Neodiprion lecontei: one gene and its partners. The protein of the gene in region 3 interacts with the protein of the main gene of each other region in a biochemical or structural test. Links are inferred from orthologs where the notes say so. Each region holds a gene or a part of one and is shown on either strand. Other genes may lie near its edges.

Evidence for each region.
Region 1: of the proteins of DNA replication licensing factor Mcm6 (region 3) and cell division cycle 7-related protein kinase, one has a biochemical effect on the other in vitro, tested with the Homo sapiens proteins (2 studies listed by BioGRID). The link is inferred for Neodiprion lecontei from reciprocal best matches to the Homo sapiens genes MCM6 and CDC7.
Region 2: the proteins of DNA replication licensing factor Mcm6 (region 3) and mini-chromosome maintenance complex-binding protein form a complex in vitro, tested with the Homo sapiens proteins (2 studies listed by BioGRID). The link is inferred for Neodiprion lecontei from reciprocal best matches to the Homo sapiens genes MCM6 and MCMBP.

Annotation. Positions count from the first base shown.
Region 1 is NC_060261.1:17,271,150-17,277,218, reverse strand, and holds cell division cycle 7-related protein kinase, read right to left. Parts: upstream 4,387-6,069; 5' UTR 4,170-4,386; coding exon 4,121-4,169; intron 4,006-4,120; coding exon 3,786-4,005; intron 3,707-3,785; coding exon 3,613-3,706; intron 3,506-3,612; coding exon 3,363-3,505; intron 3,203-3,362; coding exon 3,085-3,202; intron 2,311-3,084; coding exon 2,130-2,310; intron 2,032-2,129; coding exon 1,882-2,031; intron 1,752-1,881; coding exon 1,624-1,751; intron 1,508-1,623; coding exon 1,385-1,507; 3' UTR 547-1,384; downstream 1-546. Other genes in the region: protein unc-45 homolog B, read left to right, coding at 1-357; myb-binding protein 1A-like protein, read right to left, coding at 5,406-5,865, 6,026-6,069. UniProt on the Homo sapiens protein: Kinase involved in initiation of DNA replication. Phosphorylates critical substrates that regulate the G1/S phase transition and initiation of DNA replication, such as MCM proteins and CLASPIN.
Region 2 is NC_060263.1:15,366,632-15,373,016, reverse strand, and holds mini-chromosome maintenance complex-binding protein, read right to left. Parts: upstream 4,411-6,385; 5' UTR 4,187-4,410; coding exon 4,180-4,186; intron 4,043-4,179; coding exon 3,768-4,042; intron 3,402-3,767; coding exon 3,084-3,401; intron 2,876-3,083; coding exon 2,547-2,875; intron 2,391-2,546; coding exon 2,211-2,390; intron 2,094-2,210; coding exon 1,850-2,093; intron 1,578-1,849; coding exon 1,401-1,577; intron 1,324-1,400; coding exon 1,138-1,323; 3' UTR 516-1,137; downstream 1-515. UniProt on the Homo sapiens protein: Associated component of the MCM complex that acts as a regulator of DNA replication.
Region 3 is NC_060260.1:9,286,167-9,293,479, forward strand, and holds DNA replication licensing factor Mcm6, read left to right. Parts: upstream 1-1,881; 5' UTR 1,882-2,006; coding exon 2,007-2,098; intron 2,099-2,240; coding exon 2,241-2,384; intron 2,385-2,474; coding exon 2,475-2,739; intron 2,740-2,813; coding exon 2,814-3,016; intron 3,017-3,224; coding exon 3,225-3,426; intron 3,427-3,502; coding exon 3,503-4,033; intron 4,034-4,112; coding exon 4,113-4,418; intron 4,419-4,555; coding exon 4,556-4,913; intron 4,914-5,817; coding exon 5,818-5,955; intron 5,956-6,112; coding exon 6,113-6,252; intron 6,253-6,349; coding exon 6,350-6,469; 3' UTR 6,470-6,760; downstream 6,761-7,313. UniProt on the Homo sapiens protein: Acts as a component of the MCM2-7 complex (MCM complex) which is the replicative helicase essential for 'once per cell cycle' DNA replication initiation and elongation in eukaryotic cells.

The DNA of each region.
Region 1 (6,069 bases), on a different chromosome or scaffold from region 3:
ATGCTGACCGCAAACAGCACCAAAGCTTGCGCTAAGATATTCGACTCGAAAAATTGGCTCGAGTCTATTCACTACCTTCTGGCTAATCCGAACAAGAGTATCCAGCACAGAGGCGTCGTTGTGGTGCTTAATATGATATCCAGCACCAAGGATGTCGCCGCTAAATTGATTGAGACTGACGTCATGGAGATTTTAATGGCGCTGACTAAAACCGAGGCCGTTGAGGACAAGACGATACGGGAATTAGCCGCTAAGGCTTTGGAAACTGCTGCCAAGTGGGAATTGATTAAGAAAAACATTGAAGACCTTCAAGGCGTTAGTAATATCAATCTGGATGATTCTGCCGCTGTCGAATAGTCTGCACTTTATACAAAGTCTTTGTGTTATAAGCTATTTTACACATGTTTCGTTACTTACCAGATCACGATTCATGATTACTTGCTAATCAGTCTTCAATTTGCCCAGATATTATCATTACGACACAAAAAAAGTTCCTGTATTTTGTTTTTCTATATCCATACATGCATTTGTTTTTATTTTCGTGGGAACTGTGTGACGTTTTCTTACATCAGAAATTATTTTAGTTATTATTGATATCACAACATTTTCATACATCATCATTCATTGTTCTGAAGATTCTAGATGAACGCACTCAAGTACTTAAAAATATTTTTGGCACTAGATAATGTTCAATCATTTTGATTTATACTTAAGAATTCTATAAGTTCATTCTTACTTACACTGTAACATAGTATTAATGCACTTGGATATTGGCAAGTTAAAATTTTGTAATTTAAATTGTTGGAAAAAATTTGTACAGTATTTATTTCGATAATATATTATAATAAAATATATTTATACCTACTACACGACTATTGTGTTTACCTGACGAAATTGAGTTATAGGAATTGTCGAAATATCAAAATTGATAGTACATTGCTAAATAATTTTCAACCATTCAATACATCTCTTTTATATACAAAAAGACAACTTTTGAAAAGTTGTTCTTTAAAATTACTAGCAAACTTGCATTTTAAATAAAATATATTAATTTTTATTTTAACGAACTTATGTATAGTTTTGATTTATATAGTACGCGACAGAAGTCAATACTTATATTAATAATAAATATAAAAATATTCTCTATATACATTATTTGAACAAACAAACACATCGTAATTGTATTGATGTTTTACAAGGCACGTATTATCAGATGAACTTTGCAGATCGTATAAATCACACTTCATCACTGTGATTCTCAGGCAACTAGAGACCAATTTTATACATTGTTGAAACGTATTACATGTTCGTTGTTTAAAATCAGGTAACAGTATTTGCAAGAATGAATTTCTGACGAGACACGTAAGTAATTAAATACAAATGGTTAGTCTGCGAGAAAAGTGTGATTTATCGCTTCTTCCGCAGTTATTCTTGTACAGTGATCTGGATCGAGCAGCCTAATTAATAAATCATATGCTGCCGAAGGATAGGCAGTATCAATTTTTTCCTTAAAATTAGAAAAAAAAAAAGAACTGTTAATAATGATATAAACAGAAAAAGAATGAAGCACATCGGCGTTAAATAAAGAAAGTGAAAATAATGAAAAATAACATTTGAAAATACCTGATTCTTGTTACTACAACTAGTGTTGGGATCCTCCTCTCGATGAAGGCTATTTCTCTTTTGTAATTTTTGACAAAGCAACTTAATATCAATTCCAGGTATGTTTTCGCTAAATGTAAGTTTTCTACCTGCATAAAAAAAAATTATTGTATTATAAATAAAAGTGCTATCCAGCTATTTGGTTCTGTGTTTAGTCGTTTTAGATCAAAGTATGATGTGAATTAATTAAACAGTAAAACGGAAAATAAAGCAAAGTACCCAATTTTTTGGCACATTGTTGCATTTTGGTCGAACCAAAGATTGTTGTTATCTCAGCCAAGGCTGTGCAGTCATCTGGCGAACGAAAAAAAGGGTGAGTTCCACTCAGGATGCAAAGCATTATGACACCGCTGGCCCAAATATCAATTGCTAAAAATAAGGTGTTTCATTTTTATTTTCGGTACTTGACTGACCAATTTTTAGAATCATGTCAAAGGATTGACGAAGGATGAATTGAATGTGTTCACCTGACGTTTGCGAAGGGAACTTGAGTAGCACCTCCGGTGCTCTAAATCCAGGCGTACCAGCACGAGGGGCAGTTTGAGCAGATTTTGATAGGCAGATAGAACATATTCGAGGTTTTCCATAGCATATGCATTGCACATCTATAGGCTTGCCAGTATTTTTTACAGGACCTGTCTCGTCATTCTGCCAATTAAGAAATAACTGATAATAATTGTCAAGATAATACAGAAATAACAAACAGGTTGAAGAGTTGAAAAAAAATTATTGATTTACAACTTCACTATGACTGAAGGTTTCGAGTTTTCAGAATGTGAGATTGGTTTTGCTTGATTACGGTTTACTGGATATTAAACTGTCCTAAAATTGTAACATAACGATTGTTCCTAAAAATGGATCGTTGCGTTAACATATCCAACTTGAATTTCATGATTTCTCAATACGTTTCGTATTAAAAATGAGATAGTCCTGCTGCCTGAATCAAAAGTTGGGAAAAGAAGGAAGAAAAAACCATCTAAAAAATTTCCAGCAATGTTATTCACGTGAATGATAATTAAGATGAATTAAACTATATCGGCACCATGTAGTTGAAAAAAATGTGGGCAAATTCGAATAACACACGACAAGATGTTGACAATGTGAGAAAAGGTTTAATAGTTGAAACGTTGAAAATGACTAGATCTTGGCGATTTTTGTCAGAATTTATGTATTGGCTCATTCATTCTGATTATAAAACCTTCTCTCAAATTGTTGGCGTCTAAGCTCAAGTAGGTTAAATTTGCTCAAATTCAGTTCTATCGCTTGGTAGGGGTGTCGTTTCATACGTGTAGACCATTACTGGGACAAATAACATTGTTAGAGGTTTTAACATGGATTTTTATCTTCTTCTAAATGTTGATTTACATGGTGACCCGTTCATGCTTAATTATACTGGCTTCAATCAAAAAAGTTCATTCCTACCACATCGTTTCTTTTTCTTTTTCCTGGCTGAGATTCAATGACACATGTTTCTGCCTGACTACTTGTGTTACTTTCAGTAGTATACTGCTGCGCTAGCCCAAAATCGACTAGTCGATACCTAAAATTTGATAACACAAGCTTGACATGTTGAGAACAATAGAACCGAGTTTTTGACCAGTTCTTACACACATCTTATGTACAGCAAATAAAAGCCACATAAATACCAGGAATTTTTAATGACTATATCACACACTTAGATGTTGAAATAAATAACTCACTGTTTCATAGCACGATTGTAGAGGAAATTACTAGGTTTTACATCCCGGTGTATAATATTAAACTTATGTACTCGCCGCAGGGCAACCAGCAGCGCTTTCATATAGTTTCTAGTCTCATCAACGGTCATGTCGTGAACATATTCCTAAAAATACTAACTCTCATTAAGTGAAACAACGTTATTAAAAGAGACCTATTTATACGTCATTTTCAAATCATAAGTTTATACTTGTTTGTATATAATTTACGTACAGCGAACCTATCATGCTTCATATACGGCATTACGAACACGATGCATTCTGCACTCCGCAGACACAAGTCCAACTCAACAACATAATCGGTACCTCTGCAAAGAATTTCAGTGTCATAGACATTTTGAAAGAAAAGCAGGCGATCGATATAGCAGGAAATAGAAACAGGTGTACCCTATGTCCTGCAAACATTGTAGCTCACGTTCAATTCTCCTCGGATGACACGTAGGCACAAGATGTTTGATGGCAAATTTACGCTGGTTTGTGGATGTCTTTAAAGTGGCTAAAAACACAGAGCTGAATGTCCCTTTCCCGATTTTACCGTGTATGTGAAACAAGTTTCCCAGAACAGGCAGCTTTCGAATGAGATATGAAATTTTGTCTTTCTCGTTTTCTAGAGTTGGAAAGAGAAATTCATTTGCTTAAGATCCATCACTGAAACTACGTTTACACGTAATACTTGTATGGTTAAAGGCAAACAAATAATTAAGACAATTTTGATGCACCACCTTCATCAACGTTGTTACCAGAATTATTAACCGAAGATACTATATTCATGGTCAAAATTTCGCACAAGAATTCAGTGTCCCGACAACTACACAGACTACTTTTTTAGGGAAAAATTCCATCTGAAAAGTAACGATCAACCAAGATTTAATGCTACAAGGATTCTCTTCGCATATTGGCGCCAATCTTAAGCTACCTGATGGAATAGAACTGCGACTTTCATGGAATAATCGACACATTTGAGTACATGTGTTCAGAAATCCGCGACCTCCGAAAAGTTTAATTAACATCGTAGTATACCCGTGTTCATAGTCTCTCCTTATCTCAAGGATGAAGGACGCCTTGATGAAGGCTCCATGAATCTCAGAGGGGTCCTCGTTTCATAGTCACAACTTGGCTCTCCCTTCCAGAAGGAAGACATACTTAGGGATATGTGATTGCTTATGGTGGTGAATCTGCTGATCGAAGCGCCATTCGGCTATATTTAAATCTAACTTAAACCGCTTGGCTCTCATTGTCAAGTTGCGTCGGTTGATGAACCTCCGTGAAGTTGGAGAAAATATGGGGGCCAACTTCACACCCAAAATTAAAATCAATTTTCCGGAAAAACTACTAACTCTCAAACGATTTTTCTTTACTCTCAAACCCTCTCAAACGATTCTCAAACGAATTGCATTAATTAGATTTAAAAATAACAACTTCGGGGGGCCAACTTCACGGAGGTGGTTGATGAGAATGTATAACCCACTGATATATATATATCAGTGATATGCTCTAAGGGTTCGACTACTTCTAGATTGCAGCGCTTCAACTTTAGCGGGACATTTCTGAAACTGACTTGCCACCACCATGGGAGTTTTCGTACCTGTCGTATCTGTGAATACGGCTGAGCTGGTGAGAAAGAGATGGATGCGGAGTAAGTAAGGAATGCTGAAAAGTTCTGTTACGAATTATCTATGCGTTGGAAGTCAAACCAGAAACAATTTTGTAACTCCAATACGCCGACAGGTCAAATTAGGAATGCTACTACAATTTTAATTACACTGTATATTTTTAAACAATACATAAAAATGTACAACATCGGGAAAAATGTTAGCCGATTATTATTACTCCGCTTGAACGTTTCAACAGGTTCAATGTGACAAAGATGTACTTCATGAGTCCCGTAAATGATTACCTTAAGCGCGCACAGCGTCATAAATTAAATTGAGCACAAGACTTATGCGTGTGCTGTAACTCTTAATTGTATAAAAAAATATCAATATTTATTTTATCTATTCAGAGATGTCATTTTTTTTTTTTACTAGTTTTGAAGGGTATATTTTGCGATTCTGAAGCCGACCTTTTCTTAGGTGAAACTCTTTTCCCAGATTGTAAGTCTGTACTATTTTGTAACATGTTTATCGCCAGAACTTCACAGTTTCGCGACGATTCACCATCCGCGGTAATTTCCATGTCTACATCGTTGATATAATGTACAGGTACTGCACTAAAATCAACTGAACTGAATCCATCTGACATAGCTTTCATTCGGAGTTCACGCGTAACTTTTTTTAGCTGCTGTATATCTTTCTGTTTGCTTTTATTCTTCTGTTTCTTCTTGTTCAGCTTCTTTGTCTGTTTATCTCTCTCCTTAGAATCTTCACTAGACTTGTCATCATCTGTTGATCCAGTTTCGACATTATGCCCATTACTTTCTGCATGTTCGCAACTTTCTATTTTTTCCTCTTTCTTTTGGTTTTGTATACTGAAAATTGAAAATACATGTAATAATAGCTAATAGTGATGAATCGAATGAATAAAATAAAGACCGTGAGCCTAATTTATTAGAGCGCAGAAAATCTTTTAGAATTACTGTTGAAAAGAATTAATTTGTGAATTGTAACATAGAACGTTCTGAAACTTACGTATTGACTTCAACGCCTAATTGATTGGCAAGTCGATTGTAAGC
Region 2 (6,385 bases), on a different chromosome or scaffold from region 3:
AGCATCGTGTGACGTTGTGCGCGCGACGGACGTAGGCGCCGACTGTCGAATACTGAAGGAATGAAGGAAAAGCCGAGCGTTCATTAATTGCGAGTCTGTCGATATGCCTCGGGGGTGGCGATCCCTTTAATTTCGAAGCAATCAGATCGAACGGGTCCCTCCGTGACTAGAGTACCAATTACTTGTTGATTAATAGAGAATACGGGGGAGGACGAAGACATAAAGGCGGAATTGATCAGGGCAACGAGCTCGTTGTTGTTAAGACGTCGAGGCGGATATTAAGCGTAGAGATTAGCCTACCCCGAGAGACCCGCGGGTCATCCTGGTCCGGTTTACTCGTGGATTTGAAATTTCCATTAAATTCCATTGTCGGAACGTTCGCGCTATCACTCTCTGTCGGCTTCCGGGTACAATGTGTTCTGGACTTGCCTGAAAAATCGAGCACGCTTTATTTCAATTACATTACGAATTCCCCCTCGATAGAATGAATCGAAAAAGAAATTTTAAAACATGGATACATAAAGAATCCAAACTTTATTGCCTGATATACGTACATAAGTATGACGTAAAAGTTGAACTATTCCTGCAGTTATTTTGAATTATGAAAAATAAGAATCAATCTTCAAATTCGACTGTCAAACATTTCACAATATTTCTTTTCTTTTTTTTACTCACAGTCGTAGCCTTACGCAAGTTTTAGCTTGTTCAAGCTCCGTATGTATCAACGGGAACCGTTTGGATCGAAGATATCACTTCTGCACCACTGAATCATATAATATTGTTGATTCATTTCAGGGGATTTTCTCTCCACGAATAACTTATTGATAGGTGTGATATCCTGTTTGTTCGCTGTTAACGTCGACAAGACAGAGTGCTTATCTACCTGCCAGCCATCATTAACTTGATGGCTTTTGATCGCTAGCCAAGATCCTCGAGGTTCGAAGTCGTTATAACGCCGTTTGTGTATACACAGGGCAGAATTTAGTTTGGGTAAGAGAAATAAATAAAAATAAAAAAAACAAATCCGAGATGGTTCGGTGAAGTTGTAAAAAAGGCATATACATATTTAGGAAGCTGTGTGTAATTCATACGCGAGTATATTCGGAAAACTGATGACTCATTTCACATCTGCACGCGCTATCTCTGCAGTCTGCGTTTACGTTCCTTCTCCATTCTAACGGCTTCGTGCCAGTAATCAACGGTCAATTTGTCCATACCGTGCGACATCGATATCAATCTAGCGAGAACCATTAGCGAATGCAGATCCTCCGCTGATGTACTTTTGTCCAACTGACGCATTTCAACGAAATCCTTTTGGATTACCTGCGAAATTAGGGGAAAAAATGTGTTTTACTCATCGGAATATTTCTTTTATCCTCTACATCCCGTGCAAAACTCACGTCTCCTATGCTATTCTCGGTTTCGATTGCGATGTCGCGTCGCCTCGATACCCTCAACCAGTTTCGAATGTTATATATCCTGGTTTCATCCCTCAAATAATGCCTGACTGCTTCCAGGGTTTCCGAATAGATATTCTCACTGTTTGAATTCTTTTCCAACACGATTTGCCTATAACACTGAAATTCGTGAAGATGGAAAAAGAAAATAAGATGTTAACTGAAAATTGCACTAAATATTCTTCGTATCTAGCTGAAACTGTTAAGTTCATGCAAAACAACCGTACACGAAAGTACGAAGCAGATTTTTGTTTTTACCATTACGAGAAATATGACTTTCCTCTGAGAATCAAATTAAATATCATTCATTGAGTCAGCTGCTCAATCGGCACTTGAACGAAAAAAGAATATTCTGGAGACTGTGGAGATGTGTGAAATGTCAAGAAACTTACAGGAATCATAGACTTTGATTCCGACAGTATCAGAACGGGTATGTCAGCCGGAAAATCCATTGTGTAATACTTGAAGTCATAGGTAACCGTCTGGGAATTAATCAACGTGGAGAAAGCTTCATAATTTTTCCTCCCGTTTGCCGAAACCTGACCGTCGGTCAGCTTTGTTTCATCTAATACAAGATGCGTATTATCGCTGAGCTGCAACACCCCGCTAGTCAATCTGTTGCAGTCGTAGTCTTTTCTGAAACAACATGAAGAATGAGCCCGGTTAATCCCAAATTGTCCAATATAAAATTCTTGATGTAATTTGAGTATCAATAAATGAATAAATAATTTCTCATTGGGAAAGTACACGTACTTGGGCTGCAGATTCAGGTTGTTAAGTTCATCCAAAGTCATGCCAATGAGGTGACTTTTCGGCAGCAACAATGATAATATTCCATAAAAATCTTCTGGAAAAGTCTTGCACTTATCGAGAGGCAAATTCGTTATGTTCAATGGAAACGCACCAAGGGATAGAAAGTCCCGTCTCAAATAGCTGTGAAAATAAATAGTGGTGTTCTAAGACATCAGCTTGGTTTCTGTTCGTCTGGCTAAAGTAGAATACCTATTTTACATCTTAAATATACAACTAAGATAATTTAGGATACAACTGTAATTTTTAATATGAAACTAAAAATTGCCAAAAACTTACATGGAAGATATTAGGTGGCATATGACATATTCGGCCGCTAAGACATCTCCAAATAGAATCTGACTCAACACTAGCTTCAGGTCACTCCGTGTGGTAACGGGAAAGGTTAAATCACCTTGGATAGTTTGTGGAACCTCCTCCATAGACACGTCCTTGACATCGATCGCGTGCAATCGAGGTATCAGCGACACGGGTGGATTGTGAGACTGAAATTCGATGTCATCCATCAACTTGTCTGGATCATGAGCAACGCTCAAAGCTGGGTCTAAGGATATGAAGCCTACAATGTCGATGATCTGGTTCAATTTGAACGACGTTTCATCATATATCTGTAAAGTTAAAAGAGCGGCATAGGTATTTCAAATTCTAACTAAATAAACTTTTCAGCTAGAGCGAATCAGCCTCTCCAATACCTTTCATACAGTAAACAGAACGTGAATTTCAAAGTGATTTTCGAGTGAATTCTACAAACTTGAATTGTCACGAAAGATAAACAAAAGTGAACAATTAATTGTAGACGTTGCAATACAGACACACCTTCACGATGCAGGCTTTACCATCGTCATTGGGAAGGGGGAAATTCATTGCATGTTCTCTGGACAGCAAGCGTGGTTCGCCATTACCTGAGCTCGGGGTTGTTTGTGTGTGTTTTTTGCTACTGAATTCTACACATTCCATTTCTTCAGATTCTAGTGAACGCTTGGTGGCAGTGTTAGTTGAGACTTGAGGTGCATTTTCGCGCACTGTACACTTTTCCTTTGCCCAACTGTTGACGCCAGGAACTGATATAACAAAACATGTCTGCCGTTCAGCATTGACATTCTCTTTGGAGTCAACGATCACAGTTTCACCTGGCTGGTAAGGAAACAAACAAATGAACGAATACAACGAGAATGCAAATCAGTGCAGTTCACGTCAAAGTGACTGTCATTACTATGGTGTACGGCAGCTTTGAAAATACTAAGAAAAAATGTATTGCATTGTAGGCAGTATTATACACGAAGCGAACAACACTTGTAGCCGCTCGCACCTGTAACTGCTAATCATCATTTACTGTAGGCCATCTTTTGACTACCATTTCGGCCAACAAAGACGTTGACAGTACGGTAAGCTTTAATTCACAACGAAAATATCAGGTACCTATGACGTTACATGAGATCTCCGCCGATTATAAAGCGCACAAGGCCACATGAGATTTGGAGAACTGACGTTGATACGTACCAAGGAGTCCAATGTATCTCTGTACCGCCCGCGGCAGGTTGTCGTCTCATTAGTGGCAACATTGCGAATTTGAAATCGATCAAGGTAGTACTCAGGGTTGTAAGTGTCCTGAATCATTCCTCGGAACCTGGCCAATTGCTTATCCTTAAACGAGTGTAAGGGTAGGGAGTTAAGGGATGGCACCGACAGTCGATTAGCAGTTTCACTTAGTACAAGGCGACATTTGGCTTCGTTTGCCAAAAAAAAATCCGGGGTCCAGTCGACGATGTTATTTGCTGGTGGGAAAAATATGAGACAGTGATCAGACGGTGAGCTGAGGGTTAAACCGGTACAATTCTCATGAGATATTGACGCCGTTTTACATAAATGGGTTAGGATAGAATATTCGCTAAAATTTGCGCAGTACACTCACCGGTCATGCTGACTTCTTCGATCGAATGCTATGCGATGCGTTCAAGTTTCCAGATGAATAAATGAGGACAAATAATAATAATCGCCGTAATGCTACAGCTTGCTGTTGTATGAAGTCGGCCGCTGAGAATCCGTCCACCGTGCTTTGTCGTGCTTGACTACTTTTGGCGCCAAATTGTGGGGAAAAAGCCCGATATTCACGTTTCGTGTATTCTCCGAGATCTGTCGCCCTCTGGAACAAAGTGAAGTTTTGGAACTAATTTTTCGACAGGGAACGAATGTCGGTAACCCGTCCACATTTACTTTCTTTACTGACAATAAATAACACTACTGATGCCACGATACGACGTTCGGGAATACGATACCGACATGTTTCTGTAATAATAAATTAGTTCCAAAAATTTGTTCGGAGGGCGCGGCGTTGGTTCTACTTCTAGTTGTGAACGTGGTTCGAACTTGGTTCGGACTACCTGCGTCGCAGTTAGCGTCTCGAATTTTCTAAAATTGTCCTCAACACTGCTTTTTTACTCTCTAATACTTTGTCGCATCCAATTTCGCACTCAAACTTTCTGGTGTCTTACAATCAGTTCCCTCCTTCAACCGCCCGGTCTTCAATTTCAATTTTATTACCCTGTTTTGTGCCTCGATCACCTTTACTATTTTTTTTTAGTAGCTGAAGAATGAACATCCAATAAAAAATTTTCGTCAGACTTAAGAGGAGGGGGCGTTTAATTAACGGCAGAGCGGTTTATCACTTTGAATAGAAGCTTGTCGATCTTCTAATTAATCATCGGAGCCCCAGAAAACTCGACTAGGTATTTTGTACAACGTTCCATTTCTGCTAGCCACGATAACAAGATTTCCTCTTACGTGAAGCTTGATGCAAGTTAGCGCCTCGTGACAAACCTGCTACGTTCCTGCTACACCCACAAAATGAAAAATATGTAAAAACCAAAGTCAAAATTGCCATTGGTTGCTAAATTTCGCAGTTCAAAATATATTTACACTGAAAAAAGCGTTTCCACCACTCAACAAGAATTCTGGTTCGGTCAGCAATATTTTCTGTCTATCTTGGTTACTGCAACACTTTATTGCTACAGAACACATACGTTTCCAGCTGAGTGTTTATCGCAAACGCAACATTGCCTGAATTGTTGTGATACTAAATATTTACTATAGTCACTCTAGGAAATCGCAATATTCCCATTGGGCACGTAATTAAAACTGATCGTCGTAGCCAGACCCGTACAGCTGAGTCAACGGCGGAAATATAGCGAAGTCAACCATGTTTGTAACAAGACATGCCTGAGGGGGGTTCCCTGGTCGATTTCGACGCTGACTTATATATCTCAAAATATCAAAGTCCACGTATCTCAAACGCGAAAAAGGGCTTAACATACACTTAAAAGACCGAAAAAACACTGAAATTTCAGAGTATTTTTCTTAGCCAAAACAAAGCATATCCTTATGAAACTTTTAAGAGTGTTCAATCGACTATTAAATAATACAAAAATAATTTTTTATTACAAAATTATTTATTTACGTATTAAATATTCATATATGTTTATGATGCTACGTTGCTAGTACCATTAGCGTTGACTGAAGATTTTGTTTGGGTACATTCTGGTACTCCAAATCTTGTCCGATATAAACTTTAATTGCACATTCACTAAATGCCAAAAAAAGTCAGATTCGTCTAGATTGCCTGGTATGATGTGAATTTTGTATCAGATAGTAGTGACAATGCCAATATTACTCTTGCAATAAAATATATACTGAGAATATAGTCAAAACACGTGTATATGAATACGGAAATTCACCCGCTTACAAACAGGGATTAGAGTTGATATCAAAATCTGAAAAAATTAGGAAATTGCTTTTAAATTATTTCGAGCCGATTTGGAGGGCGAATGATGAAAAATTCGTCCGAGCCCTAAATATGGACCACCCGAATGTATAAAATAACTACAAAAAATGCTACTTAATAGTTGGTCGAACCTCATTAACGCGAATTCGATACATTTTTCTCATTGTGGTCAAAAAACGAACGAACAATTAAAAAATTGTTTTAGACGAAGGGCTGACAACGAGTAAATTGGAGAGAAGCCAGATCATTCATTCTAGTGTTATGAAGGTTGAATATACATTGGAATCCCAAAAACTACTCATTTTCATTGGTCAAATACTGACAAGTTGTAGTTTTTCAA
Region 3 (7,313 bases):
AGTGCGAGGTATTAAGTCCACGCAGTTTTCTATGTTACGTGAAATGTGTATCGTACAATAACGATCATTAACGCTTAAGCCTCTCGCTAACCAGTCTTCGGTCCGAAACAAAATGCGAGTTCAATTTTATACAAATTATGTGACAAAGACTGGCGATGCAGCTGATGTGAGAAAATGGGATGCATTGCCACATAATTCGTATAGAATCGCAGACAGCTTTTGTTTTGGGCCAAAAACAAATTAGCTGAAAGGTTAAGGCATTCGTGCATTTTACTATACACAAATCATTATTTGTGTATAGTATAATGTTAATTCTGGTTTTACATATCACTGAAATGGGGGTTCAAGAGATTTTTAAAATGAAATTCCAAAATCATTTAATAATCATTCTAATATACCCATTTTTGGTGCTTATTCCAATTATAAATAACAAAAAGATTTTAATGCACTATTTGTTATTTTAATACATCCCATGTTTCGATTCATTCAGTTTTACGATGAACACATACGGAAATTGATTGGCGTCGCGCTATGGGCTGAAATTCTGATTCATTGCGATCGTAATCGATTGCGGACGAAAAGTAGCTTTTGCAGAATCAATTTCCTTATGTGTACGGTATATTCTACGTATTAGGTAGTACCAACCAGACTTGTTCTCTCTTGGCATTCCCGTCTACTCCAGATTGTTCGTGAGATTTCCACTCATTGCAGTCAGAGATCTTACGCAGATTTTCTTGCCATATTATTCGAGCACACCTCACTATGAACGTTCGTTAAACTCGGTACTTGTGGATTATAGGTATATATTCGGAAACTTTAAAGAGATCAATCACTTACATACAAATATTATCGCATTGATTACATAATGGTAATTTCACTACCGTTAAATTTACTAACAGTTAAAGCATTTGAAAATACTGAACGCGTCAGGGTTGAATTACGCACGTCCGAACTTGTTGACGTTCGATCGTTCGCTATTATCAAGTGCCACTTCGGGAAAACTCGAGCGCTCGGCGTTCTTCGTAAACCGGAATATGTCCGGAATAGTTCATCACTGCAGATCCAGAAAATGACAATAAATAATACAAACAATCAGTTATAGAATATATTCGTAATGTTTTCTCCAATATGATTTGATCGGTTTTAATTGCTTGTGGTTGCTAGAACGGAAAATTGATTTTCTGAAGTTAAAAATATTTTTATGTCCACAAAAATTTTCAGTTTTACTACCAAGACGAATGAAAAATCGACGGTCTAATCTATTTTGTTCTTATTTAACATCCATTCTTAGTTACACGTAAAATTTTAAAAAATTTTTTCAAAATTTAGATGACCTAGCCAGTTAGCCATTCTAGTCCTTTTTTTAGAAAGACAACAAATCGACTACTTTGTAGTTCTTCAGAGGAAGTCCCCCACAAATAGGATTTGCGATATGTGCACATATAGGGACTTCTTGACTCATGTGAGTTTCGCACTCGCCTTCGGTCCGTGCGGTACTTTACGCTCTTCAAAAAATCCCTACTTTAAGCGCACATTCCACGAAAGTAAATATTTCCCACTACCACACAATAGATTTATATTGAAATTGCGTTACAATTCAAACATAATAAAATAAAAATGATCGATCCGCAGACACATATTCATAACAATAGAATCGATAATTCGGATTAATTTTCTCATCAGGCAGTACGTTTTTATTGCGAAATTTGGATTTCCCTCATCTCCGGCAATCCACCACCACAGAGTGCAAACAGCATACTGATAGATTGTTCATAGTTCATTGTTATCTTGGGCTTGAACTGTATTCTCTACATTTTCAATTTCCCCACCAGATGACACGGCTGTTGCAGAAGTGAAATGAGGAACTTTAGTGAAATGTAGCATCACTATACACCATGGTGGCGTATCAATTTCCCGCCAATTTTACTTGCCCGTTAATTAATAACAATACTTGCTTTCATACATTTATAATTGATAATTTACAAATTTGAGTATTATTTTTTAACATGGACGTAGCTGACGCGCTCGTAGGTCAGTTGAGAGTGAAGGATGAGGTCGCAATACAATGCCAAAAGTTATTTCAGGATTTCCTCGAGGAGTAAGTAACCTAAAATAAATTGACCAAAACAAACATTAGCCGGTGAACACTTGAGAAGTGAATTATTTTAAGAACCGTTAGTTACGACAATATCTCAAACTGTCTCAATCAGCTTATTTTTATCCTTTAACTTGATCCACAGATTCAAAGCAGATGGGGAAATCAAGTACTTGGAACCAGCAAAAGAACTTGTCAGTCCTGAACGAAGCACATTGGAAGTTTCATTTGATGATATTGAACGGTACAATCAAACTCTCGCAACAACAATTATTGAAGAATACTACAGGTAACTATTCTGAGTAAAGCATTTTTACATACGTATCAATACCTAAGAGCTTGAAAGTTTTTTAAACTCGGTTGTTGTGTGTATTTACAGAATTTACCCATACCTCTGTCAGGCAGTTTGCAACTATGTTAAAGACAGAGGTAACTTGACAAAAGATAAGGAATGCTATGTTAGTTTAATAGATGTGCCGACGAGGCACAAAGTAAGAGAATTGACAGCAGTGAAAATCGGCACCTTAATACGTATATCTGGTCAGGTTGTAAGGACACATCCTGTTCATCCAGAGTTGATTCTTGGGACATTTGTTTGTCAGGATTGTAATACTGTAATCAAGAACGTAGAGCAGCAGTTTAAAGTTAGTGAGGAATGAACACTAGCCTTGTGTTGTAAATTGAAAAGCACCGTTACTTAATGTGTTACTTTTCGCAGTTTACAAATCCTACTATTTGTCGCAATCCAGTGTGCAACAATAGGCGTAATTTTTTGCTCGACGTCGACAACTCGATCTTCATTGATTTTCAAAAAGTTAGAATTCAGGAAACCCAGGCAGAGCTGCCTAGGGGCTGCATCCCACGATCCCTTGAAATCATCTTACGAGCAGAAACTGTTGAAATGGTGCAGCCTGGGGACAGGTCTGTTTCCTTAATAGCAATTTACTCTGACAAATTTTTCTTGTGTTAAAGTTAAACCAACCTATTCTAAGGACTGGTTTGGGATTTCAACTGTTCATATTAACAATAATAATAATTACTTGAGATGTATTAGTAGATGAATTTCAGTTTGTTATGGAAATAAGATTTGATCCAGTCAACATTGAATAACTTTCACTTTTGCATTCAGATACGATTTCACTGGCACGCTTATAGTTGTGCCAGATGTGGGTGCTTTGTCACTACCTGGAGCAAAGGCTGAATTTGGATCAAGACATAAGCATGGAGATCCTTCAATCGAGGGAGTGCGAGGTCTGAAATCACTAGGCGTTAGAGATTTGACTTATAGAATGTCATTTCTGGCTTGTAGTATAACGTCTACTACTTCGCGAGTAAGTGTTGAATTTTGTGAATGCAGATAATAAAAGTATAAGAATTTTTTCTATCTAAAACTGATTCGGCTGCTAGTTTGGTGGAACGGATATGGGAATGGAGGAAATCACGCAGGAGATGATGAAGAGACAAATGTCTGACGCAGAGTGGAATAAAGTTTATGAAATGAGTCGAGACAAGAATCTCTACCAAAATCTAATATCTAGTTTGTTCCCATCCGTCCATGGAAACGATGAAGTGAAAAAAGGAATTACCTTAATGCTGTTTGGTGGAGTTCCCAAGACAACGATAGAGGGAACATCACTGAGAGGAGACATTAACTGCTGTATTGTCGGCGATCCCAGCACAGCAAAATCTCAATTTCTAAAACAAGTCGCGGATTTTTCACCAAGAGCAATTTATACCTCAGGAAAAGCTTCCAGTGCCGCTGGTTTGACGGCTGCTGTAGTCAGGGATGAAGAGTCCTCTGACTTTGTTATCGAAGCTGGAGCCTTGATGCTCGCGGATAATGGAATTTGTTGCATCGATGAGTTTGACAAAATGGATCCTAGAGATCAAGTCGCAATTCACGAAGCCATGGAGCAACAGACAATATCGATAGCCAAGGTAGAATATGGTTTTCTTTTTATCTGCGATTCTTAATTTATTTTTACGTCTTTTACTATGATTTAATTTACTTCTATAGGCCGGTGTCAGAGCGACGTTGAATGCACGAACGTCTATCTTGGCTGCAGCGAATCCAATTGGTGGACGTTACGACAGGTCGAAATCCTTACAACAGAACGTATATCTGACAGCCCCTATAATGTCTCGTTTCGATTTATTTTTTATTCTGATTGACGAGTGCAATGAAATTGTTGATAACGCTATAGCCAGAAAAATTATTGATCTGCACAGTAACAATGTGATTACCATCGAATGTATCTATACTCAAGAGGAAATTTTGCGATATATTAATTTTGCAAAGCATTTCAAACCGATTATCAATCAGGTAATGTGTTGATACTACGAAATATGAGTTATATCATTTTCGTTACTCGTTGCTATTTTCTAGCCACAATATATGCGTATGATCGTAAAAAAAAAATTTTTGGGACATTTAACAATTTGCTATTCAATAATTAACAGGAAGCAGCAGAGTTATTGATAGAGGTCTATACTACCTTACGACAAAGAGAAGGGGGCAGTTCAGGAAAATCTACTTGGCGAGTCACTGTGCGTCAGTTGGAAAGTCTCGTACGGTTATCAGAGGCACTGGCAAAGCTGGAATGTGGAGATGAAGTCACAACGAGACACGTGAAGGAAGCGAAAAGATTATTAAGCAAGAGTATCATCAGAGTCGAACAACCAGATGTCGATCTTGATGAAGATAATAATTATCCAAATGGCCAAGATGGTATGAGAATGGATATCGATGACGCGCCTCCTCTAATGGCTGCACTCAATGATTTGGATAATGGTGAAGCTACTAACATCGATGATTCCGGTAAATTTGGGTACCCCCTGTCAAAATGGGTGGAATGCTTCCTTTCTGGAATGTTAAAATGAACTTATGCTAACATTTCTGGAGTACTTAAGGGGTAACACCACCGCAAAACTCTAAAAAATTCGCCATTTTTTTGGATAGAAGAAAGGGTAATAAGATCATAATATTTTAGGAAGTTATTAGGCATAAATATAATACAAAAAATTATTATCAACAAATATTCAAAAATGTCAACACTGAAGCCATTCTCGCGAGTGGTGTAAATTTGAATCTGGAAGAAAATGATAAAAAATCTACACCTTTATAGCCAGAGAAATAGGTATGGGATTTTAAAAATAATGATTTTTGCGTGATTTGCGAGTATATGAATAAAAGACGTCAGATTTTTGACAAAAAAGGGTAATCATTTGTTAATAAAACACACGAAAAAAATAAGTTAAAATGGATTAAAATCGTCTAGCTGAATATATTTCTCGATCAATATTTTATCATATACTAGATCAAATCGAGTAGTTGTGTATATTTCGATATCAATGTATTAAAATATTAATATTGAAATATACTCAGCTACTTCATCTCATCCCTGTAAAAATGATAGTTTTCGGGTTATGTACAGTTTATGCCAAGATATCGGAAGACATTAATATGGCCCAACCTTATCATAAGTACTCCAAAACTGATAGCCTAAGTTCATTTCATCTCTCCGGAAGAGGCGCATTTTACCTATCTCACGGGTTTTATATATTTTTTTTTTTTTTCACTTTATACCTATATTACTCTTTATCGCCATTCTTGTAACCAGTTACGGACATCTATTTTTGTTTTACACAATTATTTGGTTATCGCAGGCATGGTTAGAACAATTAGGCTATCAAAATTTGGATTGAATATTTTTGTATTCCAGAAACCACGAAGGGAATCTCACAACCTTCGCAAGAACCTGTTAAAAAGAAACTGACCCTTTCCTTTGAGGAGTATAAAAATCTCTCAAATATGTTGGTCGTCTATATGCGGACAGAAGAGAATCGAATTGAAAGTGAAGGTTGGTACATTATTTTGAGGAAGCATTTGCTACTCAATTGCAACAACAATAATGTTGATAAAAAATTGTAAAATTATTTTCGTATGCAGTGTCAAAAATGTCGAAGATATTTCAAACCTTTCTAGGGATGATACTACTGAACTTTTTTTCCATATAGATGGAGACAAGGAGGGAATCAGGAAATCGGAATTGGTTGCTTGGTATCTCGATAAAGTTCAAGAGCAAATTGAATCTGAAGATGAATTATTGGAGCGAAAAGGCCTCATTGAAAAAATTATCGACCGGCTTATGTATCATGTATGTTTCTTCTTTACACATATTGCGTATCTGCCTACGGAAAAAAAGAATAAAAACAACAATGACTAATGTGATACAATAAAACTTTATATTATAGGACCAAATCATAATTCCTCTGACGACAGCGAATCTGGCATCTAGAGGCAAGCACCGTGAAGAAGAAGAGGAAGAAGATCCCTTGCTTGTCGTACATCCAAATTATATTCTCGACCCTTGATATTTATTCACAGTAATAGCCAAGAAAAGCGACTGCATTCAAACTTTCATAACGTACCTTAAAATTGCTATGTATTCCTAGACCAAGAAGTGATGGTCGTTCAAATAAGTATTTGATTTCGTGCCTTCTGAGCGGCAATACAAATGTACAAAATGTGCGACTCAAAAATTTCCAAACTATCATAATCTCCATCTACTACAGTAGTTTTACATTCATCCCAATTCACTATTGTTCAACTATTGATCTTTTATACAATTTATAAAAATTTACAAAAACGGATTTTTTACAAAATGTATCGTGTGTACTTCATTACATTTAATCCTAGTCGAACGAATCTACTAAAACATTATGCTCGTACAAATCAGAGCCTTGACCTGCCTACAGTTTTCATACGAGCATTGTTTTTATCGTCCAATTAGCGAAGCTGTATTAATACTGACAATGAGTCTAAACAATCGGTGTACGGTGATCCAATTGCTGGGCGAGTTAAGAGCGCTGAACCGGCTGAACAAAGGTTTAATTCAAAATTTCAGGGCTACGAAACTGCTTATATTCGTTTACGAGAAATATTGCGGTGTATTTTAAATTTATTGAGTACCAACCGCTTAATTTTTTCGTCTTTACCGGAATGATCTAAATTCAGTTCCGCAGAGTGTTTAAGTATGCAAGGAGTAAAGTTTCATAAGCCGGTTCATATATTTAAAAAAAACTTTGTATTCAGTTCATCGTGTAATGTGGTAGGGTATTTAAACGCATTTACGTAAGATATCGACAGCCACCACTTGCATAACTAAAATACGCGCGTAGCGCGTGTTTTGACAGTAGGAGGAATATAACTTTACTG